Linked DNA regions of Saccharomyces cerevisiae S288C. The protein of the gene in region 2 binds, or shares a complex with, the protein of the main gene of each other region. Each region holds a gene or a part of one and is shown on either strand. Other genes may lie near its edges.

Region 1 (3,440 bases), on a different chromosome or scaffold from region 2:
AAAGTCGCTGTGAAACATACACGGCGTTGTAGTCACAGTATGGAACACAATCTTTCACCTTTACAGCAAGAAGTATTGGACAAATACAAACAGCTTTCTTTAGATCTAAAAGCTCTGGATGAAACTATAAAAGAACTAAACTATTCGCAACACAGGCAACAGCATTCACAGCAAGAAACTGTATCGCCAGATGAGATACTACAGGAGATGAGGGACATAGAGGTCAAAATTGGTTTAGTTGGGACACTGCTAAAAGGTAGCGTGTACTCGCTTATCTTGCAAAGAAAGCAAGAACAGGAGTCTTTGGGTAGCAATTCTAAATAATGGTTTGGTGCAAGAAATTGATTCTGATGCTTTATTTTTTACGGTACACTACATTGTGCTGTGAGTTGTAATAATATAGTCTGTATATGCCAAGTGAAGAAAAAAACAATACAAACTCAAGGTGTATTATGAGGTAGGGAATACACATAACAATATATATATATACGTATGTATATTTAAATTGTATAAATGACGATCTTACCGTCTAACCCACAGGAAGAGACTTGTGTGATTTGGCCGTTGGATTCCGCAAAAGGTCTTAATTCCACAATGGCGTTTTCATGTGCACTTTCTTGGACATCTGTGCTAACTTTACCTTTCAAGTCTAATTCTTTAAACTTTCTCAATGCGGAAATACCGAAAGTTGAACTTTCATCATTATTACCACTCAGCTCGTCTGTATTACCAGATGCAGTTAAGGCAGAAGACTTGTTATTGTCTGATTTGTCTAGATTCTTCGCAAATTTCCAGCCTTCAGAGGCTTCGCTGAACAATACCGGATGACAAGAGTATCCTCCACAAACAATCTCGTGGTCGTTTATCCATACTAAGGACCTGTAAGGTAAACCTTCCGGAGCATTGACAGATTGCACTGGAGATTGGTAATCGACAACATTCAAAGTACCATCATGCGCTACATAAGCAATTCTTTCCATCTGACTTCTCCATTCCACATCATGGATATAAGAACCCTGATACCACTCCCTGATTAAACAACCAAAAGGGAATTTCTGGCCCCAGGGTGATCCGGCGACGGATTCCTTGGAATCCAAACCCTTGATAAACCCGCTGAACACACGCATAAACCCATCAGTACCACCAGCAGCTAATAGGACTCCATTTGCATGCCAAGACAGGCAATTGATGGTAGATTTGATGGGTTTCTTGATGTGCTTGGATACCCACCAATTATTCTCGTGTTCGTAATAACAAACAGCGATGATTCTAGCACTGGACCCAACAGCAAACTTATAACCATTTGGTGCCCATGTAACTGAAGTAGCTGCTCTGTTAATACGAAGAAGTACTAACGTGGGCTTGTATGTCCCATCACTCAATGGCTCCCAAACGTAAGCATTACGGTCTTGGGAGCAAGTCACAATACGACCATGTATGGAAATGTCCACAGCAGTAATGGTTTTATCATGATCTTTCAACGTTGCGAATAAAACGGGAGGTGTGTTGTTTGAAACTCTATAGACAAGACAATCTGTTTCGCATGTAACGGCTAAAATAGATTTATCTTGAGAAAAGCAATGAGAGTAGATTGGCGCTTTGACCAGCTTGTAGACGGCAACAACGGACTTGTCTTTAGAATTGGAAAATGACATTAGGAGACTCTCAACTAATATACGTTTACTTCGGCTTATTTTTCCTATTTTTCTTTGTTTCTAATCTGGAAGCTTTCTCGATCAAGATTGCTCTTATTTGACCCTTTTTCATTATAGGCAAGGCGCGGGCGGGTGACAAGAAGATTTTGATAATTGTGCAACTGATAACGTAGGATTCATTATCAACATTGTTGTTAAAGAGTAACAAGGAAATCTAAGAAATGGTTGTGCTTGTTGTCGAAGAAGTGATAGAGACAGTGTTTTTGCCAGCCAATTCTCTTTAAGAATAGGCCTTTCTTGTAGGATTAATGGTTAGTAGGTTTTATCAGATTCCAGGTACGCATCGGCCATCGTCGGCAATATCTTCTTCAAATGAATCTTCTTCACTGTTGTCTGCAAGGAGAATAAGTCAAACATATTTCAATTATCAGGCGACCCCTGAATGCCAAAAAGTTTCCTCTAAGTATGATCCTGATAACCCAAACAAAGATAAGTTGGGAACATACGATGGGGTATTTGTGCCTACTGCTTTAAACGTATTGTCTATCCTTATGTTTCTTCGTTTTGGCTTCATTTTGGGTCAGTTAGGTATTATATGCACCATCGGTCTTCTGCTATTGAGTTACACTATTAATCTTCTCACCACGTTAAGTATATCTGCTATATCTACAAACGGGACTGTTAGGGGCGGGGGTGCTTATTATATGATTTCAAGAAGTTTAGGACCTGAATTTGGTGGATCCATTGGGCTTGTCTTTTTCTTAGGGCAGGTGTTCAATGCAGGTATGAACGCAGTGGGTATTATCGAACCTTTACTCTATAACTTGGGTTATTCTGCTCAAGGCGAGCCACCTGCAGCTTTGGGAGAGCTACTACCAAGAGGGCATTGGCACGAATTTACATATGCCACGGTCATTCTTTTCTTATGTTTTTCTGTGGCTTTTGTTGGCTCGCAAACAGTGTCAAGAGCAGGGAATATTCTTTTTTTGGTACTGGCAGCTTCTATATTTTCCATTCCACTTTCTGCATTGATAAGATCGCCATTCACTGAAGGCGGTATCAGTTATACAGGTCCTTCATGGCAAACTTTTCATGATAACCTGCTCCCTCACTTAACAAAAGGTGCAGCAGGTTCGTTACTCAAAGGTAAGGAAACATTCAATGATTTATTTGGCGTTTTTTTTCCTGCTACAGCTGGTATATTCGCGGGCGCAGGAATGTCAAGTGAATTGAGAAAGCCCTCTAAATCAATTCCTAAGGGTACCTTATGGGGTTTACTTTTCACTTTTATCTGTTATGCCGTTGTTGTCTTCTCCATGGGTTGTTCCATTCCCAGAAGATCGTTATATGATGAAGTACAAATTATACAGACGATCAGTTCCGTTCAGTGGGTTATATTCATGGGTGAAATGGCTACTTCTCTTTTCTCCATCATAGTGGGGATGCTCGGTGCTGCTTATGTATTAGAAGCAATTGCAAAGGATAACATTATTCCTGGTTTGGAGATTTTTGCTCATTCACCGTTATATTCATTGATTTTTACTTGGATTCTAACACAGCTATGTTTGTTTTCAGACGTCAATAAAATCGCCACATTTATCACAATGACATTCTTAATGACGTTTGTGGTCATGAATTTGGCGTGCTTCCTATTAGGTATTTCCTCTGCTCCCAATTTCAGGCCCTCTTTCAAATACTTTAACAGGTATACTACAGCAATTGGCGCATTACTTTCTGTTGTTGCGATGTTAATAGTTGATGGCATCTCAGCGTCTGTCTTGTTTT
Region 2 (2,827 bases):
TACTGGTAGTTGCATCTCCATCTTTCGTGTCCTTTTTGGCAACACCAAACCCAGTTCCAAATTTAGATGCGGCACCAAACACGAATTTATCCTCCTTTTTGTCATCTTCCACAATACCAGATTCTACGGTCTTTCCGTCGTCAACCTTGATCTTCTTATGCGATGGTTCTTGGTCTTTTTTACCTTCCTCCTTTTTCTCCTCATCATTTTTATTGGGTGCTTCTGATTTGTCACTCGTTTCTTCCGCTTGTTCATCCTGATCTTTTTCCCTCGGTCTCTTAGGAGTTCCATCTAGTTTATCGATAGGATTTTCAACTGCAGTTTGTTTCACCTCAGAATTTTCCCTGGCTGCATTGCCACCATTGGTCTCACTCATGCTCTCAAAGTTTATGCGTACTTGTTTTGTGCAAATTGATTTGTTGACATTTTGGTTTGAGTAGCAACTGAGCTTTTTAAAATCCAGGCATTTATATCTTCAACCTCGCCAAACAATGTCAATTTTTTTAAAAAAAAACTCAATACCTACATCACCGCGAAATGCCTGAAGTAAAAGCATATAACAAACGCGACCCTTAAAATTACGTATATATATGTATATTTCTTTATACTAAGTTTTACTGGGCAGAGTATCATACAGTTCTTCTATCCGATATATAATGAACGATAGGTGTGACACCACTGACTTGAGTAATTCTTTCCAGCCACGCAAGCAAGACACCCCCTTGTTTCTGGCCCTGAGGTACGGACATTCCTTTGTAGAGATACTTTACCAGCACGTCCCTCTGAGAATCACTCAAATTTTTGATTACATTACCAATATCGGCTTGCCTGACTTGTGTCAATGCTTCAAGGACGCTCTTAAAATATTGCTCCTTTGTTGGAGCATCTGCACTGTATGGAGGATCGGTTGTGAGTAATTGAACGGCTCCCAAAGAGTCACCACTTGTGGCAAGCGAGCGCAATTGATTCATTCGAGGTTGTAATTCTTGTAATGTGACAGTAGTTTCGTATGGTGGTACCAGATCGGCAGCGGTTAGTCTGCCACTCTCTGGATCAAATGCATCGATGTCAATTCTCCTCCAATCGGCTTCCATTGCTTGATCGTTCGCGTGTGTTGTGTTGAGTCTTCTCTGGTCTCCTTTGCTATAGTATCTTGTGTTAAATGCGGGCTGTTTTTCTCTTATTTTGTTATAGGGGCAAAGTCTGAGAAAGGGAAAAAAGTATCCAAATTAACTGATGTGCGGGTAATCATAGACAACAAGTAGCAGAGTTTAAGTATTACTTATATTCAATAGTCGGGCGCTTCTTTGGGAGCTGGTTGAGACTCTCGAGTCCGTGAGTTTCTAGATTTATATACAGAAGTAACAGCAGCAGTAGGAGTGGCGGCGGAGAGCAATGGCCTGTTTCCACGGTACCTCGCGTCCAATGTGGAACTGCCGTATCTATCAGCGCTATATGCGGAGGAAGAAGTTTCCCTGCGTGGCAGCCTGGGAGCATAATTTCTTTCGGCGGGATTTGATGTACTTGCGCTTGCAAACCTTCCTGGAAGCCTGCTGTCTCTGTTGGAATAGCCTCTGCCTCCTAGGCCGCCGCCCAATCTTCTTGGCTTGAAATATTTAACGGTTCTGCCTCTTTCTATGTCGACTATGCAGATTCTGTCTTTGATTTGGATACCTCTGTGTACTCCAATCTCCTTGAATGCCATTTTACTACTTATTGGGTCTTTGAAAACTATGAAGGCGTAGCCTTTACTCTTCTGGGTTATCTTGTCCTTGACTATCCTAATTTTTTCGATCTCGCCAAACTTAACAAAATACTTTTGCAGTTCAATTTCGTCAAGATCGTATGGTAGCCTCCCAATAAATATCGTTCTGTAGGGATCTGTGTCCTTGATATGAGGGTCAACGTTAGGATTCCAATTTTGTAGTCTCCGGTCTAACAATTGAGCATTTTTGATCTTGGAAAGTTTGATGTCTTCGTATCTTTGGAGATGGTTGTTTGGAGATCCTTCAGGAAACTCCTCCATATAGTGCTTCAAAGAGGTTGATAGTAAGTTTGCAACGCCAGTGATATTTGGATTTGTTTGTCTCTTCGCATATGGGTAATCGGTTGGTCTTTTGTAAGATAAAGGTGGCCTTGGCTTGAAAAGTCTCGACACGTCGTCTGGATACTTGGATAGATTATAATTCATCAAGGTTGAGGTGCCGATTACTTTTTTAAGGTTTCCTTTCGACAGTCGATGACCGTGCTGTGTGTCATTATCTTGCAGTTCTTTTTTTCTTCAGATGCGTTAATTTCCTACGAAGGGCGCATACAATGGTGCTGATGGGATTTATGAGCAAAACAAGTAGGCGAGCAAGACATGAACGAAATTGTAATGAAGCGTACTTCCTTTTCCCTACAACCTTAAAAAGGTCTCACTGATATATCCATTCGCAATAATGACAAGATTTTTGCATGGGACTTCTTTTTTTCTTTTGAATAAGTCGCGTTATAAGGACAAAACATTAAAAAAAAATATGTATTGATTCACTGATTTATATATACAGAAGTAAGTACCGGGGTACCTAAATATACGCATAAAAGTCTCTTTCTTTTTTTTTTTTTTTTTTTTAGCTTCCTACATTTCGTTAATAATATTATATAGATTATATTTATATTTAAGAAAAGTAATATCAGCATATTATGAATAGACAAAAAAGTCTAAGGTCAAGATTTATTAAATGTTAGATTATTAAGATTACAATTAACAACATTTGTTGTTACTTCATAAAATTTCGTTACTTCATAAAAGAACTACAGTCCCCCACTTCTAAATGAGTGGTTG
Region 3 (2,549 bases), on a different chromosome or scaffold from region 2:
ATGCAAATAGGGCACAAGATAACTTGATCAGGCAAAGGTTAGAGCTTATCTCTAAGGCTGACATTATGATAAGTGATACTGAGAATTTATTTAAAAGATATGAAAAACTGATTTCTAGCGAAAAAGAGTATTCTAATATCGTAGAGGACATCAAAGCTCTGAGACAAGCTATAAAGAATTTTAAGGCTAACGAAAATGACATGTCAATTGATGTAAACGGAATAAAAAAAGCTACGGATGCGCTACAGGGTAGGGCATTAAAATTATTCCAAAGCGCAACAAAAAACCAGCAGAATCAAGGTAAATAAGTGAACAAAACACAAATAAGACTTGTATATTAACGTGTATATCGTTCATTAAAGCATATTTTGACGTATTTATACTTTATACATTTATATATTTCTTTCCCGTTTCAAATTTTCGGTTCAAATAAAGTTGCATGTGGATTATTATGTTCCCATAAATTCTAGTTTTTATTATTTTCCTTGCACCGTATACCTTTATAGAGATTTGTTCATGAATCTTCTTCTTGTGAACGCCAACCAAAACTTTGAGGGATATTCCTTAGAATCTGTAGAGCTATAGACTCTTTCTAATAGTCTCATTGCCAATTCTTGACGGAATTGCTGAATATAAGTCTTCAACAAGTCCATCGAATTATGATCTTGTACTGGAACTTGGTAAACATTATTCAGAGGGAAACCCGGTGTACCTGGTAAAGTAAAGTTGTCCAAGGCCACATTGGTTAACACTTTGACGGCTTCGTTAAATGACGTTGTTATTTTCAAATGGGCTAGGCAATCATTGATAAAGAGAATTCCGTAGATGAGCACTCTGTCGGCGGGTGATTTAATTTCAAAATTCTTGAAGAAGGAATTGGCACGAAATAGGTCCAAGCACTCGTCGATAATATCGTAATCGGAATTGCTGGGGTATGCAGGACCCCTGAACTTAGTGTTCAAGGGCAGAAGCGCAAAGTTCCCTACCATGCGGTCAGTGTTAGGATCTACAGGGAAAGTCGAGTGATACGCAGGCATTTATTAATATACTGGGAGTGGAGAGACTGATAATACCAATAATCTTCCTTTATTGATGTTTGTTACTGCGCACCAAGTGTTTAATTTATTGTTATTCATTGTTATACTAAACCAAACCGCAACGGAAAGGATAGGGGTTCGTGGTGGATGATCCGCGTAACGGCCGAGTCTGTGAAACTGAGAGAGAATGATAGTGAAAACAATGGTATGGAAGTCCGAGGTCCTAAGGCTTGAAGAAAGTTTTTAAAGGGCATTATGACCAGTGAGTACTGACGACCTAATTTAATAACAGTATTGAGCCGATTAGGTTTTCCTGGATTTTTTTTTTGCTGTTTTATAGCTATTTTTTTATTTGTTGTTTGTGGTCATTAATATATTCATTCGCTCTGTTAGTGTAATCGATTACAGTGCTCTATTACTGCTGACTTAATTGGACAATTCATCTCTTTTCCTGCGGTTATGAGCGAAACCAACGTTGACAGCTTAGGGGACAGAAATGACATATACTCCCAAATATTTGGTGTAGAAAGGAGGCCAGATTCCTTCGCTACTTTTGATAGTGACTCGCACGGAGACATAAGTTCTCAGCTGCTGCCTAATAGAATCGAAAATATCCAGAATCTAAATGTTCTGCTTTCTGAAGACATTGCTAATGACATCATTATTGCCAAGCAGAGGAGACGTTCTGGAGTTGAAGCCGCCATCGATGATTCTGATATACCAAATAACGAAATGAAGGGGAAAAGCTCAAATTACATTTTATCGCAGCAGACTAATATTAAGGAAGTTCCAGATACACAAAGTTTGTCTAGTGCTGATAATACACCTGTGAGCAGTCCAAAGAAGGCAAGAGATGCCACATCTTCCCATCCCATTGTTCATGCTAAATCGATGTCCCATATATATTCAACGAGTAATAGTGCTAGTAGACAAGCCAAGCACTATAATGACCACCCTTTGCCTCCAATGTCTCCAAGAAATGAAGTTTACCAGAAGAATAAAAGTACTACAGCTTTTGTGCCTAAGAGGAAACCTTCGCTCCCGCAACTAGCACTTGCTGGTCTTAAGAAGCAGAGCAGTTTTTCCACCGGCAGTGCATCAACCACTCCTACACAGGCTAGAAAATCGCCTTTGCAAGGGTTTGGTTTCTTTTCGAGACCAAGTTCCAAAGACTTGCACGAACAGCACCAACATCACCAGCATATTCAGCATAATAATATTAACAATCATAATAATAATAATACTAATAATAATGGCGCACATTATCAAGTGGGTAGTAGTAACAGTAATTACCCTCAACATTCACATTCTATATCATCTAGATCGATGTCGTTGAACTCATCTACTCTAAAAAATATTGCATCATCTTTTCAATCGAAGACTTCTAACAGCAGGAAAGCTACGCAAAAATATGATATAACTTCCAACCCATTCTCAGATCCTCATCATCATCATCATCATCATCACTCTTCAAACAGTCACAGTAGCCTAAATAATGTCCACGGGTCTGGA

The links.
Region 1: ARC15 (region 2) and ARC40 share a complex: the UniProt entries of both Saccharomyces cerevisiae proteins name them as parts of the arp2/3 complex.
Region 3: ARC15 (region 2) and ARC18 share a complex: the UniProt entries of both Saccharomyces cerevisiae proteins name them as parts of the arp2/3 complex.

The regions. Positions count from the first base shown.
Region 1 is NC_001134.8:684,938-688,377, forward strand, and holds ARC40 (Arc40p), read right to left. Parts: upstream 1,656-3,440; coding exon 501-1,655; downstream 1-500. Other genes in the region: DAD3 (Dad3p), read left to right, coding at 40-324; VHC1 (Vhc1p), read left to right, coding at 1,964-3,440. UniProt on the Saccharomyces cerevisiae protein: Functions as a component of the Arp2/3 complex which is involved in regulation of actin polymerization and together with an activating nucleation-promoting factor (NPF) mediates the formation of branched actin networks.
Region 2 is NC_001141.2:243,369-246,195, forward strand, and holds ARC15 (Arc15p), read right to left. Parts: upstream 1,095-2,827; coding exon 630-1,094; downstream 1-629. Other genes in the region: YRB2 (Yrb2p), read right to left, coding at 1-376; U1 snRNP complex subunit SNP1, read right to left, coding at 1,289-2,191. UniProt on the Saccharomyces cerevisiae protein: Functions as a component of the Arp2/3 complex which is involved in regulation of actin polymerization and together with an activating nucleation-promoting factor (NPF) mediates the formation of branched actin networks.
Region 3 is NC_001144.5:861,218-863,766, forward strand, and holds ARC18 (Arc18p), read right to left. Parts: upstream 1,038-2,549; coding exon 501-1,037; downstream 1-500. Other genes in the region: Hsp70 family ATPase SSQ1, read left to right, coding at 1-308; Rho family guanine nucleotide exchange factor ROM2, read left to right, coding at 1,497-2,549. UniProt on the Saccharomyces cerevisiae protein: Functions as a component of the Arp2/3 complex which is involved in regulation of actin polymerization and together with an activating nucleation-promoting factor (NPF) mediates the formation of branched actin networks.